Linked DNA regions of Oryctolagus cuniculus. The protein of the gene in region 3 purifies or fractionates together with the protein of the main gene of each other region. This does not show direct contact. Links are inferred from orthologs where the notes say so. Each region holds a gene or a part of one and is shown on either strand. Other genes may lie near its edges. The genes, in order: AHDC1, ADNP and CBX5.

Region 1 (4,257 bases), on a different chromosome or scaffold from region 3:
GGCCCCCGCCCCGGCCGCCGAAACCGCCTGCTTTGCCCCCGCGCCGCCGGAAGCCCTGCACGCGATGCAGGAAGTGGGAGATGCTCTGGGTGTCAGGGGCCTGGTGCACCGACTCGGGCTCGCTGGGTGTCCAGCAGCGGGGCGGCGAGCACCGCCCAGCGCACTGGCTCTGGCGGTTCAGGAAGGCCAGCTTGGCCAGCACGTCCGAGTACTCGGCCTTGCTGTCGTTGGCGTCGGCCGCGTAGGACGGCTGAGGCGATGCCAGCTTCTGCTTCCTCCTCCGCCGCTTCTTCACCTCTGGCATGGCCATGGTGGCCGCTGCCACAGTGGCCGTCTCGGCGGCCACCACGGCCGGCTCCTTGGGCTTGCCGGGACCCAGCAGCAGGTTCTTCGGGGGACGGCCGCGCTTGCGTTTGAGGATGATGGGCATCTCGCCGGGCGGGAAGACCACCACCACGTTCCGCCCGTTGTTCTTCATCTTCAGCAGGGGCGTGGGCTCCGCGGACACACGGAGGCCCAGCTCCTTGCCCTCCACGCTCAGGCTGCTGCTCAGGGAGGACACTTTGTACGTGGTCTTGTTCCGCCGGCCCAGCGACACAGGGATCTTGGCCATCTTCACCACCATGCGCCGCACACCCCGGCACTTGCCTTTGCGGCTGGGGACCATGGGCGTCTGGGAAGATTCTGGCTCCAGCTCCGGGACTGGGACTGGGCCCGGGCCCGGCAGCGCAGGAGGCGGTGGAGGCGGTGGAGGGGGAGGGGGCTCAGCCAGGGCAGCCGCCAGCCCTGTGGGCATAGGAAGGGGCAGCAGGCGGCCCTCGGGTCCAGCGTCTGCCTTGCGTCCCCGTCCGGCTTTCCGCCGGCGACACAGAATCTTTGGCCTATCAGTGCGCCGCAAGGCGTACTTGGGGTGGCCCTCAGGCCCGGGGGGGCCGTGGGGTGAGCACAAGTCCAGGCGCAAGGGCTCCGCCAGCGGGCAGTGCCCCAGGGGCTGCTGAGGCTCCAGACGGCGACCCGGGACGTCCAGCAACTTGGGCAAGGGGTCGAGCGCCTGAGGGTCGAGCAGCTGCGACTCCAGGGAGTCAGGCAGGGTGTCCAGGGCCTGCAGCGTCAGAGGCGGCAGCCCCAACGGATCGGCAAGCGGCTGCAGGGGCGGCAGCTCCAAAGCTTCCCCGAGCGGCTCTAGAGCCTGCGGGTCCAGAAAGCGGGGCTGGGGGTCCAGGAGCTGAGGCTCCGGCTCCGGAGAAGGGGGTTCAAGGGCTTGGGCCTCCAGCAGCTGGGCCTCAGGGCACGTAAGGGAGGCCAGCTCACTGAGGATGTCGGCATCCGCGAGCTCCGAGTAATCAGGGCCGTCTGGCTCCGGCTCTGGGGGCAGCCCGGGGGCTGCAGCCGTGGCTCCGGGACTATGGCCTTGGCCAGGCGGGGGACTCTCCCTAGGCTCAGGTTCAGGCTCATAGAGGGGGTGGCTGGGCCGTTCCGACTTGGCATGGGGGGTGGCCCGCTCCTCGGGGCTGCGGATGCTGTTGGCCAGGCTGGGGGAGGAGAAGAAGCTGTATTGGAGGTCTCCGGGTGGCGGGGCAGGCGGGCGGCTGAGCCGGAGCCCACCGCAGTCCAGGTGCACGCCGCTGTGCTGCAGGTCCTGGGAGAGCCGGGTCAGGTCCTTCATGATGTCAATCAGCTGCACCACTGGTCGCAGGGTCACCCGCCCGTTGTCCCAGCGGTGGTGGGAGCTGCTGCTGTCGCCCGCCGGTGTAGGGCAGCGGGCCTGTGAGACGGGCCTGGCTGCCCGCGGGGGCAGTGGGTCGTCCCCCTTGGCGAGGACTGGTGGGCGCCGGGTGCTGGGGTCCCGGCGTGGGGGTGGGCGTGGGTTCTCGGAGAAGGCGTGGGTGGAAAAGCCCTTGTCAGGTGGGCTGGCGGGGGGCCGGGAGGGCAGCAAGGGCCGGGGGGTGGGGGGGCCGCCGGGGTAGTACTTGGGCTCCCGGAGGTAGTCAGGAGAGCTGCACACGGCACTGGAAGTCACCACCAGGCCCTGGGGCTTCACACGCATCCTGACCTTGTCCTCCGCGGGCCGCCGGGCGGGGCCGGGGCTGACATGAGGGTGCGAGAAGCCGGGACCAGGACCTGTTGGGCAGGACAGGCGGGAGGTCCCTCACTGAACACCTCACCAGCTTCTCTTCTCAGTGAACCCCTGGGCCTTCCCCCAGCCCTCTCAAAGCACCACATGCATGGGCCCCGGTTCTTACTGACAACTCACCTGCCCTGGAGACCCTGGCTATGGGCTCAGGGAGAACAGACCCCCGCCTCTGCAGGGAAGCCCAAGGGAACAGCAAGGGGAGCGCTCGGGTCGACTTAAGAAGGAGGCTGGGAAATCCTACCAAGGGCATGGCCTCCCACCTCCCCGCCCCCACCCCAGGACTGCAAGAATCTGGCCACTCACCCTCGGCTCTGCCGCCTGGGCTGTCACACTGGAGAGCTCTGTGGATGAGACAGCGACAGGGGACCTGAATTCCCCACGTGGTCTGGGGGCCACAGCTCAATGCCTGGCCACCTGCCCACTGCTCAGGTCTCCTCCAGGAACCAACCCCCAGCTCCCTAGGTTGCTCCCTGCAGCGCGCATACCCCGCTGACCTGGGAGAGAGAGGGCCCCTGTGCCTGGGGGCGCTGCCAGTCGCTGGCCGTCAGCTGGGGGTGCTATGGAGCAACTTCGGCCTGAGCCCAGGCCTCGGGCGTGGACAGCGCCTGGAAAGGACCATTGCAGCTCAGGTTTAGTGGGCACCTACTGCGCGCCAGGCACTGGGCTGGATGCTGTGTGGGCATCGTTTCATTTAACGCTTCATACAGATGCTGTGAGGTGCGGGCTAGTAATAAGCCCATTTCACAGAGAAGAAATGGAGGCTCCAAGATGAAAGAACTCACTACTTATGGAGTGCCTGCTTTGCAAAAGGGCTGGGCAGACAGATCCCGATTAGATAATCGTGAATGATTTAATCGTTAGTGGCATAAGAGCTCCAGGGAAGTGAAGCATGCCTAAGGTCAGAGCTTCAACAGTCACTACTATTGCTGCCCCCAAAGACACTGTCACTGCTGCCAAACACGGGGCCACGCCCATTACACGGCACCCCTCGCCTCACGCCCCTGCAGACCAGAGATTGAGGTCAGCACCCTTCCCAACTCCACAGAGCCCACCGCTGAAGGCATTAAGCACCATGAAGGCAAGGATCGTGTCCCTTTCTGTTCGTGGCTTCCAACACCCAGAATGGCACGTGGCCCTCAAAAGATGGTTTCAAGAAAGATTTGTGGTGGGGCAGGTGCTATGGTGCAGTGCCGGCATCCCACATGGGCGCCGATTTGAGTCCCGGCTGCTCCACTTCCGATCCAGCTCTCTGCTATGGCCTGGGAAAGCACTGGAGGATGGCCCAAATCCTTGGGCCCCTGCACCCACGTGGGAGACCTGGAAGAAGCTCCTGGCTCCTGGCTTTGGATCAGCCCAGCTCTGGCCATTTGGGGAATGAACCAGAGGATGGAAGACCTCTCTCTCTCTCTCTCTGCCTCTCAAATGAATGAGTAAAATAAATTTAAAAAACAAAGATTTGTGGAATGAGTGAATGAACAAGGCACACACAACAGTCAACCCTGCCTCAAGTGTGACCCAAGAAGGAAGCTGAGGCAGGGAGAGGGACAGGGCTGCAGGATGGGACCCTCTCTGACCCTCTCCACTGCTCCAGCCCAGCCCCAGCTCGCTCGGGCCCCATCAATCTCCATGTCACAGTCCCCATCAACCGTAGGCAATCACCAGAGCACCTCCCCCGAGGGTGTGGGCTCTGCAGGGGCAGGGATCACATCTGTCTTGTTTACCACAGCATCCCCTGACCCCAGGGCCTGGGCTACAGATGCTCCATAAATATTTACCAACTGAGCCCTCAAGCTGGTCAGGGCAGAGCTGGGATTTAGATCCAGGCATCTGACTCCCAAGGGAGCCTGAAGCCTCAGGACCATGGCTGATCCTGAGGAACTACGATCTGGAGGAGTTGAATGGGCCCTGGTCACTGGGAGGGTTTTAAAGACAGCCCCTGGAGGCCTGGCACTGTGGTGCAGTAGGTAAAGTCACCACCTGCGATGCCAGCATTCCATATGGGTACTGGTTCGAGTCCCGGCTGCTCCACTTCAATCCAGCTCTCTACTAGTGTGCCTGGGAAAGCAGCAGAGGATGACCCCAGTGCTCGGGCCCCCACCAGCCACATGGGAGACCTGTTTGGA
Region 2 (4,257 bases), about 47 Mb from region 3:
CCCACAGTCCTACATCCTCCCATGTAGTGTTTTTCAAATAAAAATCATTAGGTTCAAACTGTTTAAAATCCTAGAAAACAGTGAAAGAAGTTTACAAAAACATAATGGTATCAACTCCAGCCCAAGCTTACATATAAATTGTTACCTTTTTACTAGAGTTGAGGAGAGCACAGGAAAACCAACCGCATTAAGATCTAAACTAGGAATAATAAGGCTCTTAGGCAAGACAAAAGGGCACCTGGAAATTAAATTACACTGAACATTTTTTATCAGCCCAACAGTACCCGGATGGTCAGCCAGGTTTCCAAGGAAACCACTGGGAATTCTAATGAACTAGAAAGTCCGGTCACATACATATTAGTACCAAAGCAGTTTTCTTAGAGTACTGTAACTCATCAGCGATAGTACTGCAATGGAGTCTTAAGAAACGTTCGTTTATGGTTCTGCAGATGTGTCCAGTTCTGCAAAAAAAGATTTTTTGAGGGAGAGGGGCCAGAGATTGGATTGGAAAGAAAATTCAGGATTTTTGAACCCAAAAAGGAGGAAAGAAAGCTATTCAAAGAAAGCAAGCAACGTGATGTTAAATTTGCACTCTTATGTAAAACGCTAACACAGCCCCTTTCCCCTTAGACTAGGAAGATAAAAAGTCTTAGGATAAAAATTCTTGCTCCTCAACGGTTCAGTCTGAGGGGGATCAAGCACACATCAGTCCGCAGTCTGTAACGAGTGTCGTGAGAGTTTGAACAAAGCCTGTGCAGGACGGGAGGCACCTGAGCACCTGTGAGATTAGCTCCCGTGAAGAGGGCCCCACCGAACATGCAGCGAACAGACCGCTGCATGGGGCAGAGCTGCCCTCACCGTGGGCTTGGGGAGGGGCAGCCTGCATGCTGGGGACGACCTAACTAGAAGCTCACCCCGAGGAGCTTCGTCTTCACTCTGTACCCCTAGAGTGTCAGTGGGACTCAGGAAAAGAAAGACCACTGCTTACTGAATTTTTGTTTTTGTTCCTTTACTTCCATTCCAGTCAAACATTTACTGAGCACCTATTTTGTGCCAAACACTGTGCTATAGGTGCTGGGGACAAATGGATGAACAAGGCAGCCATGGTCCTTGGCCAGCTAGGATTTAAAGGTTAGCACGGAAATGGCATTCACTGTGTTTTTTCAACCAGAGGCTCTGACCACCTAACTGTAAGACTCGGAGCACTGAGACCTGGAAAGGGAGGAACTCACTGCTCTGGTTATGCCCTCGCCCAGGGGCTATTATAAAGCTCTTAGAATAAAAAGGCAGGAGAAACAGTGTAAGGCCAACTGTTAAACAAGGGGAAGACAGTAGTCACTGATGGGTAAAAAGGGCCAACAAACGCTCAAATCCCAAGGAAAGAGACGACAAGCAGTCAAGTAACCATGCCTCAACAGTTAGACGGCCAACAGCACCCTCAGGCCTCTCAAGGAGAACAGGCCTGGAGCCCCACAGACACCACCGCTCCCTCCGTCTTGAGGCCAGACCTAGTCCCTGACTCATCTTTCATCTGTAGAGTGGAGGTTAAGAATTCCCACTGCCCCTCGAAAGTCGTTAAGAACAAAGGGAGAGGCCAGTAAAGCGCCCAGGTTCAATGTCTGACAAGCGTAAGCCCTCAACGGCAGCTGCTGTTGCTTCAGGATGCAAAGACGGAAAAGCCCCTTCGGGGTGAAGGGAAGAAGTTTACGCTAACTGAGAAGGCGCTGGCGAAGCTAACGCTGTGGTTACAATTTAGAATCACACCGAAGAATTATCCATCCTCGTGCTGACACAAAGTAATGGACCAGAAGCTGAGTCATGTTAAAATTTAAAAATGACATGCTACTTACTTCTATATGTTCTTTACAGTATTCCAACCCAATGTCACTAAGTATTTTTTTCACAGTTTTCCGGGCTTTTCTTAAACTGCCAAGATTGTTGACAGGAAGTTGGAACATAGTTTCTATTGGAAAAAAAAATTTAAGTCAAAGTCAAAACATGTACAACTTGTAATATTTACTAAATCCACTGATGACAGGATCACAAACCCTGGCCCCAACTACAAAAAGGTGAATAGATATCCTTATCTAGTGTATTCTGAATACTCAAAGCAGACAGGCAAAAATAAGTTCTCTCTGATTTTTTCTGAATGGGACATTTTTATATTAATCAACTATGAGTCTAATCTGGCACAATTCAGCTTAGACTTAAAAAAAAAAAAAAAACAGTTCAGTGATAAAGTTGAGAATGAGGGAAATAATACCAACCAATTATTTTTAAGTCAAGTGTGAGTGCGTTATTGCTTGTGATGTTGAACCTCTGAGAACAGGAAACGCTCACCATTGCAGCATTGTCACCACACTGAGTGCCAGGGAGCTCCTGCTGCCGGCAATACCCCTGCCACTGCTCTGGTGTTCTTCAGGGAGCACGCCTGCTATCTCTGTGCACCCCAAGTCAATGGCATGATGGCTGAGAGGACTCACCCCCCGACAGCTGGCAGCACATCTCAACAAGGCACTGACTGCTGAGAGGGGAGAAGGTGGGCACTGGGCGTCAGAGCAAATGGTAACTCTTACAGGCTTCAGGGCATCCATCGGAAAAATGAAAAGCCCTTGCGTGTGTATGGGAATGGAACAACTGTGATGAGTTAACACATTAAAATCAAACTCAGATCCACTTCCCCAAGTTCCTTAAAAACAAAGGGCTGTATTTAGTAAGAAGACAAAATTACTGTTTCGGGCAACTGAGAATTTGTATGCCTTCCAATGTGACCCTAAATCCTTCTGTAAAATATGCTTCAGAATGTCTTCAATTTAGTAGTCCAAATTCAAAATAGTTTTGCAGAATAAAGTAGCTCTAAAATTCAAAACAGCAAAACCAAAATCCAAAGCAACCAGGAATTAAAATTTAATATATGCAAATCTTATCTGCCAATTAGTTAAGGTGGTTACTACTACCAGTTTTACCTGCAAGTTAACTAATCCAAATGTAATGTTGTCTCACTTATTATCCTAATCTAAAAATTAATGTTAACTAATGAAAAATGAAAAAACAGAGAAAAAAAGAGTCCCTCGCACCAAAGCAAAGAGCGGCTCCCAGCAGTGCTCAGCCGGGGGTCCTGCCTGGGACCCCTGCAGCAGCCGAGAAGGGAGCTCCCTGGCCTCCGCTCAGGCTGGACTTCTGTGAGCTCTGAAGCAGCGCTGCAGGCGGCCCTGCTCTGCACACGCCATCACACCCCGCTTCCCAGACAAACCCCTGCACTGAAAGCCAAGCCATTCTTCACGGACGTTTTATTGCTAAATTGTTTTAAACCATCTTTTCAGTGGTTTAAAACAAGACTTTTCAGTTGTTGACACAAACTCGGTCTTTTTCAGAACTGCCCGATTAAAAAAAAGACTAGAAACACAGAGGCATCCTTCAGGCTAATTCTGAGCACAGCCTCTCAAGTCTGAGGAGTCCACTATCCATCTCTCTTCCCTTCAAACCTCCCTGTGGGCCAAAACCCAGCCATTCAGGAACTTCCCGAAGTAAGCCTGCCTCACTTCAGAAGCAGCCGGGACTGGTTTCCCTGCCCGCCTGGCAGAACCAAGGCACACAGGTGTGTGAATGTGGCCACCAGCCTGTCCCTGCAGCTCGGGGGGAGGAGAGCCCACTCTCAGTGCCTGCCCACGGCCACGGTCATTCTAGGATCCCGGTGAAGCACACCTCAGCGCCTGGGGGAGCCCCCCGAGCCAAGCACGGTTCTCAGGAGCTCGGCAGCAGGACGCGTGCACTTCAGAAGTGGCACAGGGTCGACTTCCGAGTGTACTTATCCACACTGAATTAAAAAGGCTCGTTAACAAAATAAGCATGACTGCTTATCGGAAAACGCTGTATAAAAGGTTATTTTTCTTCTATGCTTAGTAACCGGAAGAACCCATGCTCAGGTTTTAACTGGAAGATGTAGAAGTCCTACGACTATGAGCGTATCGCGGACATTTCTAATGACCCTGGGAATTCAGTGATCTGCCCCTCTCCCCAGATGGAGGCGCCCTCAGTGACCTGTTTACAGAAGCTTTTTCTAACCAAGACTCTGTCCGTCTGCAGCTTGTCTTCGCATCCTCAACGTTAAGCACTTACGCACTTCTCTGGCTGCTGGCTCTAAATGACATGCTTTTCTTAGTAGACAACAGGACAGCACAGGAACAGATGCAAGGAAGCTTCCTCCCCACCCCTCTCCTCGGCCTCGCAGCGCTTCCCAGACGGCTGACCCCGTCC
Region 3 (4,357 bases):
CATGGAATGTGGGAAAATACCAGAGTGTTTGCACCTTTGCTGTGTGAAACTTGTTTCCATGTACGTACAAAGTCAGTATAAAATATATTTCTTCCTGAGGGTCATAGCTAAAGCAGAGTGACAGTCACTCAAAGCCAGGAAAGAGATTTAAAGTTAGGTGAAATCCTTAACAGGCATCTGAGACAAAATTTACCTTCTTAAAAAAAACACCTTTGCCATTATTTAGGGAGCCAAATTCAAGCAGTCAATCATATAATTAGATTGCAAGAAATATTAAGAATGTTAATGAAGTATCACTTTTATCAGAAGGAACAATGATCCTATTATGTGTCTGAAAGAGATAAGTGATAGGATTTAGTAATCCACTCAGCAAAGGCCCCTCCCTAAATACATCCCACTTTTATTGAATTGGTAAAACAGAGGACTTTGAAAGGATAATTAACTCTAACATCAGCCATTTTAGGTCTGTTTCAAACTGAGATTCCGATGCTTACCCCTCTCAGACCTTTGGCAACGCCTGGCGGCTGTGAGGACAGCGGGGGGGGGGGGGGGGGTGCTGCTGGCTTCTAATAGGTAGAGCCAGGGAGCCCAAGACAGCCCCCACTCCCTGCCCAACAGAGAAGTATCTGGCTCAAAGTGCCCATAGTGTTGAGGATGAGAAACCTTGTTATAGATTAAGACTGTATTCCTTTTAAACCTAAATAAATCCAGGATACCCTCAACCGCTCTCACTTTAGTTATCAGAAGCTCAGCAACTGCACTATCAGCATATCCACAAATAGGTTTATGATCAGGTATGAAACACAGATTTGCCGTTTTTGCAAGTACGGGAGAACACGGAAATCTCTGCTCGGTTCATCACAAGCTCCATTAAAATCATTTGTATTTGCACAAGTGCGGAGAGGTCTCCAATCACAAGTGTACTTCATATGTGGTTGACTTTTATTAGAGTATTTAAAGATTGCTCCCTTGGCTTTAAGTCAGTGAACAATAAAGCAGTAAGACCCTAACACACCCAATATATAATGCAAACTTTTTTTTCAAAAGATCCCTGAATAAGCAGAGAAAGCATTATCAACAGAAGACAGACTACATGCAGAACACCCTCGTAAGGAAATCTAATCAAAAGGCAATGAATACTCCAGGTGATGGATGGGTCTTTTGTCTCCAACACCCTAACGTATCGCCTCCTACAGCGGCTTCCGTGGGACATCCTCAAAGGAACAGCACAAAGAGGGACACGGGAGATCTTTAATGGTGTAAAGAAAGATATGTACAGGAGGGAAAGTCAGAGAAAAAGACCAAGACAAAAGCACGGAGCAGCTAGCTGAGAAGAGAGACAAGGGCGATGAGAAGTATGATAAACAGAAACGCACACACAAAACTGACTTCATTTTTTATTTTATTTTAATCACAAATCGTCACCCCTGTAAAGATTAAACACGGGTCTATTGGAAACCCAGCCTGCCTCGGCCCCGGCGTCGGCAGAAGCAACACACTCCGGACAGGGGCAGGATTCTGAAACTTTTCTGCGGGCCTACGAACACCTTTGTGTCCGCAGAAACAGGCATCCTGAGGTCGCCTTGCCGTACAGTACACAGTGATTTCTCTCATTCGCTAACACTCAGTCCGTCTTCCTAAAACAAGTTCTCTAAATCGAAAGCCCTGCTCGGGTTTCCCCCAAACTCAATGTGGTGGATGCTGGGATGCCCCGACGTGGAGAGCGATGCCAAGCTGCAGCACCCAGGACCAAATTTACGCTTCCGCTACCAAAGAGGTGCACCGGGCGGGGGGCTTCGCAGAAGTCGTAGGGGGGAAAAACCCACCCCCGCACGCCATCACGACCATTGAATCTCCTTCCTCCCCACCCTTTCCCACCAAATCGAAGACCTCCCCGTCCTGGAGAGCCTATTGGACGACCTGTCCGAGAGGCTTCCTTGGGCCGCCCGCCTACTGGCTCCAGATTTGGTCCATCCACTTGAGGGCCCAACTCCCGCCTTCCCCGCTGGAGTCAAACCCACGGCCCCTCGGAGAAGCCCAACCTACCGCGCGCTTCGCGCTCATTGGCTCGGCGGGACGCTGCTCAGGAAGGGAAAACCCGCCTCCCACATTCCGATGGCCCAAAGGCCGATCAGTCGGCAGCTCGAGGTAGACCCAATTGGCCTAGACACGCGCCAGTCAAACGCCTCGGCGGCACAGCTCCACACAACCTACAGGGATGGAATATCCCGCCCCCTGTTCTTCTATTGGTTGGCCCAACCCACCGCTGCCCCTTGACTATCCCCCCACCCCACGGTCCATTCATTTCACACAATAACGGGCCCAACTGGAGCCGGTCCAAGGCCTTGTACAGGTAGACAAGACTCTCTGCCACTTACCCGGGATCGAGAGTGATCACACACCCTAACGTCTGCCCCGTTCCTCTGTGCTGAGGCCGCACCACAAGCCACCGCTGCTGCTGCCTTCTGCGCAACGCCAACCGCCCGCCAAAACGGATCCTTCCCTGCGCCTGCGCAACCAATCCTGGGCCCGGACCCTTTCTCCGCCCACAACGCCTGCGCAAAGCAGCGCGCAACTCCCGCCACTACGCAGGCGCCGTAGGTTAACCGCCTTCTCCCGCCCGCCATTTCACGTGTTTCAAGCGGCGAGCGGAACTCTATAATGCGCATGCGCAAGATCGCCATTTTACTACACATGCGCTCAACAGGCGGTTGTTGAAAAAAACCGTCACATCTAACTACTTTTCTGCTGCTTGGTGTTAATAATGCTTTACCAAACAAATAGGATATATAATTTGGACTAGTAGAATGAAAAAAAAACGTTTAGACAGGCGAAGTACGTTCAAAAATGAATGATTGTTCAGTTAGCCAATCAGGCTGGCTAAGAATAAGATTGCTCGAGGACCAATGGGGTCCGAGGGGTGGAGACTGCGCAGAACGCCCTAACGGTGACGTACGCAGCAGTGCGGCGCCATACACCAATAGTAGAGGGAAGCGATTTCAAATGTCCAATCAGAGCGAGGCAGGGGTGGAGTCTGCCAATGTCGAAAGCGAGGAGGCGGGATAAAAAAGCGAGGCCGAAGGTAGGCTGGCGGATACGTTCGTTGGCTTACTCCTTTCTGCTTGCGGACGCCGCCGAGGAAGCATCGTCGAGTTCTCTCTTCCCACCGCCGTCATGTCGAAGTCAGAGGTGAGGAGCTCCCCTTTTCTAACGTAGTTCTCCCCCTCGTCTCCCTCTTCGAGTCCAGTAGGGGCGGTTTCTTTGCCCGCAGCAACCTTTTCGGCAGTTTGCTCGGTCGCGGCCAAGGCCTACCCCTCCCAAAGTTCAAGTCGCCATTTTGTCCTCGTCGTCGCCATGAGGTTGCGGGCCGCTAGCCCCTCGATAATCACTCCGGGGTCGGCGTCGGGGCAAAATCGTTAGCCATATGGCGATTTAGGTTCAATTTTGTCCCGGCGAGCGGGTTTTAAAAAAGCCTTGATGCCCCTCACGGCGATGTCCCCCTCCCGCGCGGACCTTTTGTTGCGCGCGTGCGTCTGGAGGGAGCGGAGCGGCGCATGCGCTGGAGGCTCCCCAGCCCCCAACGGGCCGCCTCCCCTGATGAGGGGGAGCACGTGGCCCGCTTTGGACCGGAGCGAACAAAAAGTGCCGCCTTTGTGGGGGCCGAGTTGTGTTCCCCACCCCCCGCGTGGAAACGGGGTCGTGTGGTAGCCCGAATTTACAAGAGAAAAACCAATTTTGCTCTCCCGCCCAGTCGCCCAAGGAGCCCGAGCAGCTGCGGAAGCTCTTCATCGGAGGGCTGAGCTTTGAGACGACCGATGAGAGCCTGAGGAGCCATTTTGAGCAATGGGGCACGCTCACGGACTGCGTGGTAAGACTGGGGAGGGCCGGGAGGCGGGGCGTCGGCGGCTGTTCCTGCAGATTCTGTGCGAGGGCTTAAGATCCTAACGGGGCCTGAGTTCTGAGTTAGGAATGGCTCGTTTGTGGCTCTTCGGCCTGCTTTTTGGAAGTTGCGGGAGCGGGGAACAGGAGGACCGCCCTATAACCTCCTACGGGCCCGGGCCTTGTAATAAGCAAATTAACGCTGTCTCCAGGTAATGAGAGACCCGAACACCAAGCGCTCCAGGGGCTTTGGGTTTGTCACCTACGCCACCGTGGAGGAGGTGGATGCGGCCATGAACGCAAGGCCACACAAAGTGGATGGAAGAGTTGTGGAACCAAAGAGGGCTGTGTCGAGAGAAGTAAGTGGGCCCCCAAACCCCCATCGGTTGTGGTAATAGGCTTGCCATTGGGGAGCCATCTGGACCCTTTCAAGTACTTGATAAAGGACACAGATTTTGCCATTTAGAGTAACTCGTGG

What was found.
Region 1: the proteins of CBX5 (region 3) and AHDC1 purify together in Homo sapiens (affinity purification with mass spectrometry; 3 studies listed by BioGRID and IntAct, with this or other methods). This does not show direct contact. The link is inferred for Oryctolagus cuniculus from reciprocal best matches to the Homo sapiens genes CBX5 and AHDC1.
Region 2: the proteins of CBX5 (region 3) and ADNP purify together in Homo sapiens (affinity purification with mass spectrometry; 4 studies listed by BioGRID and IntAct, with this or other methods). This does not show direct contact. The link is inferred for Oryctolagus cuniculus from reciprocal best matches to the Homo sapiens genes CBX5 and ADNP.

Annotation. Positions count from the first base shown.
Region 1 is NC_091438.1:144,015,302-144,019,558, reverse strand, and holds part of AHDC1 (transcription factor Gibbin), read right to left. Parts: intron 2,740-4,257; 5' UTR 2,629-2,739; intron 2,476-2,628; 5' UTR 2,438-2,475; intron 2,122-2,437; 5' UTR 2,048-2,121; coding exon 1-2,047. UniProt on the Homo sapiens protein: Transcription factor required for the proper patterning of the epidermis, which plays a key role in early epithelial morphogenesis. Directly binds promoter and enhancer regions and acts by maintaining local enhancer-promoter chromatin architecture.
Region 2 is NC_091442.1:10,055,412-10,059,668, reverse strand, and holds part of ADNP (activity-dependent neuroprotector homeobox protein), read right to left. Parts: intron 1,964-4,257; 5' UTR 1,959-1,963; coding exon 1,851-1,958; intron 71-1,850; coding exon 1-70.
Region 3 is NC_091442.1:57,214,182-57,218,538, forward strand, and holds the start of CBX5 (chromobox protein homolog 5), read right to left. Parts: upstream 2,697-4,357; coding exon 2,379-2,696; intron 1-2,378. Other genes in the region: HNRNPA1 (heterogeneous nuclear ribonucleoprotein A1), read left to right, coding at 3,175-3,189, 3,752-3,868, 4,092-4,238. UniProt on the Homo sapiens protein: Component of heterochromatin that recognizes and binds histone H3 tails methylated at 'Lys-9' (H3K9me), leading to epigenetic repression. In contrast, it is excluded from chromatin when 'Tyr-41' of histone H3 is phosphorylated (H3Y41ph).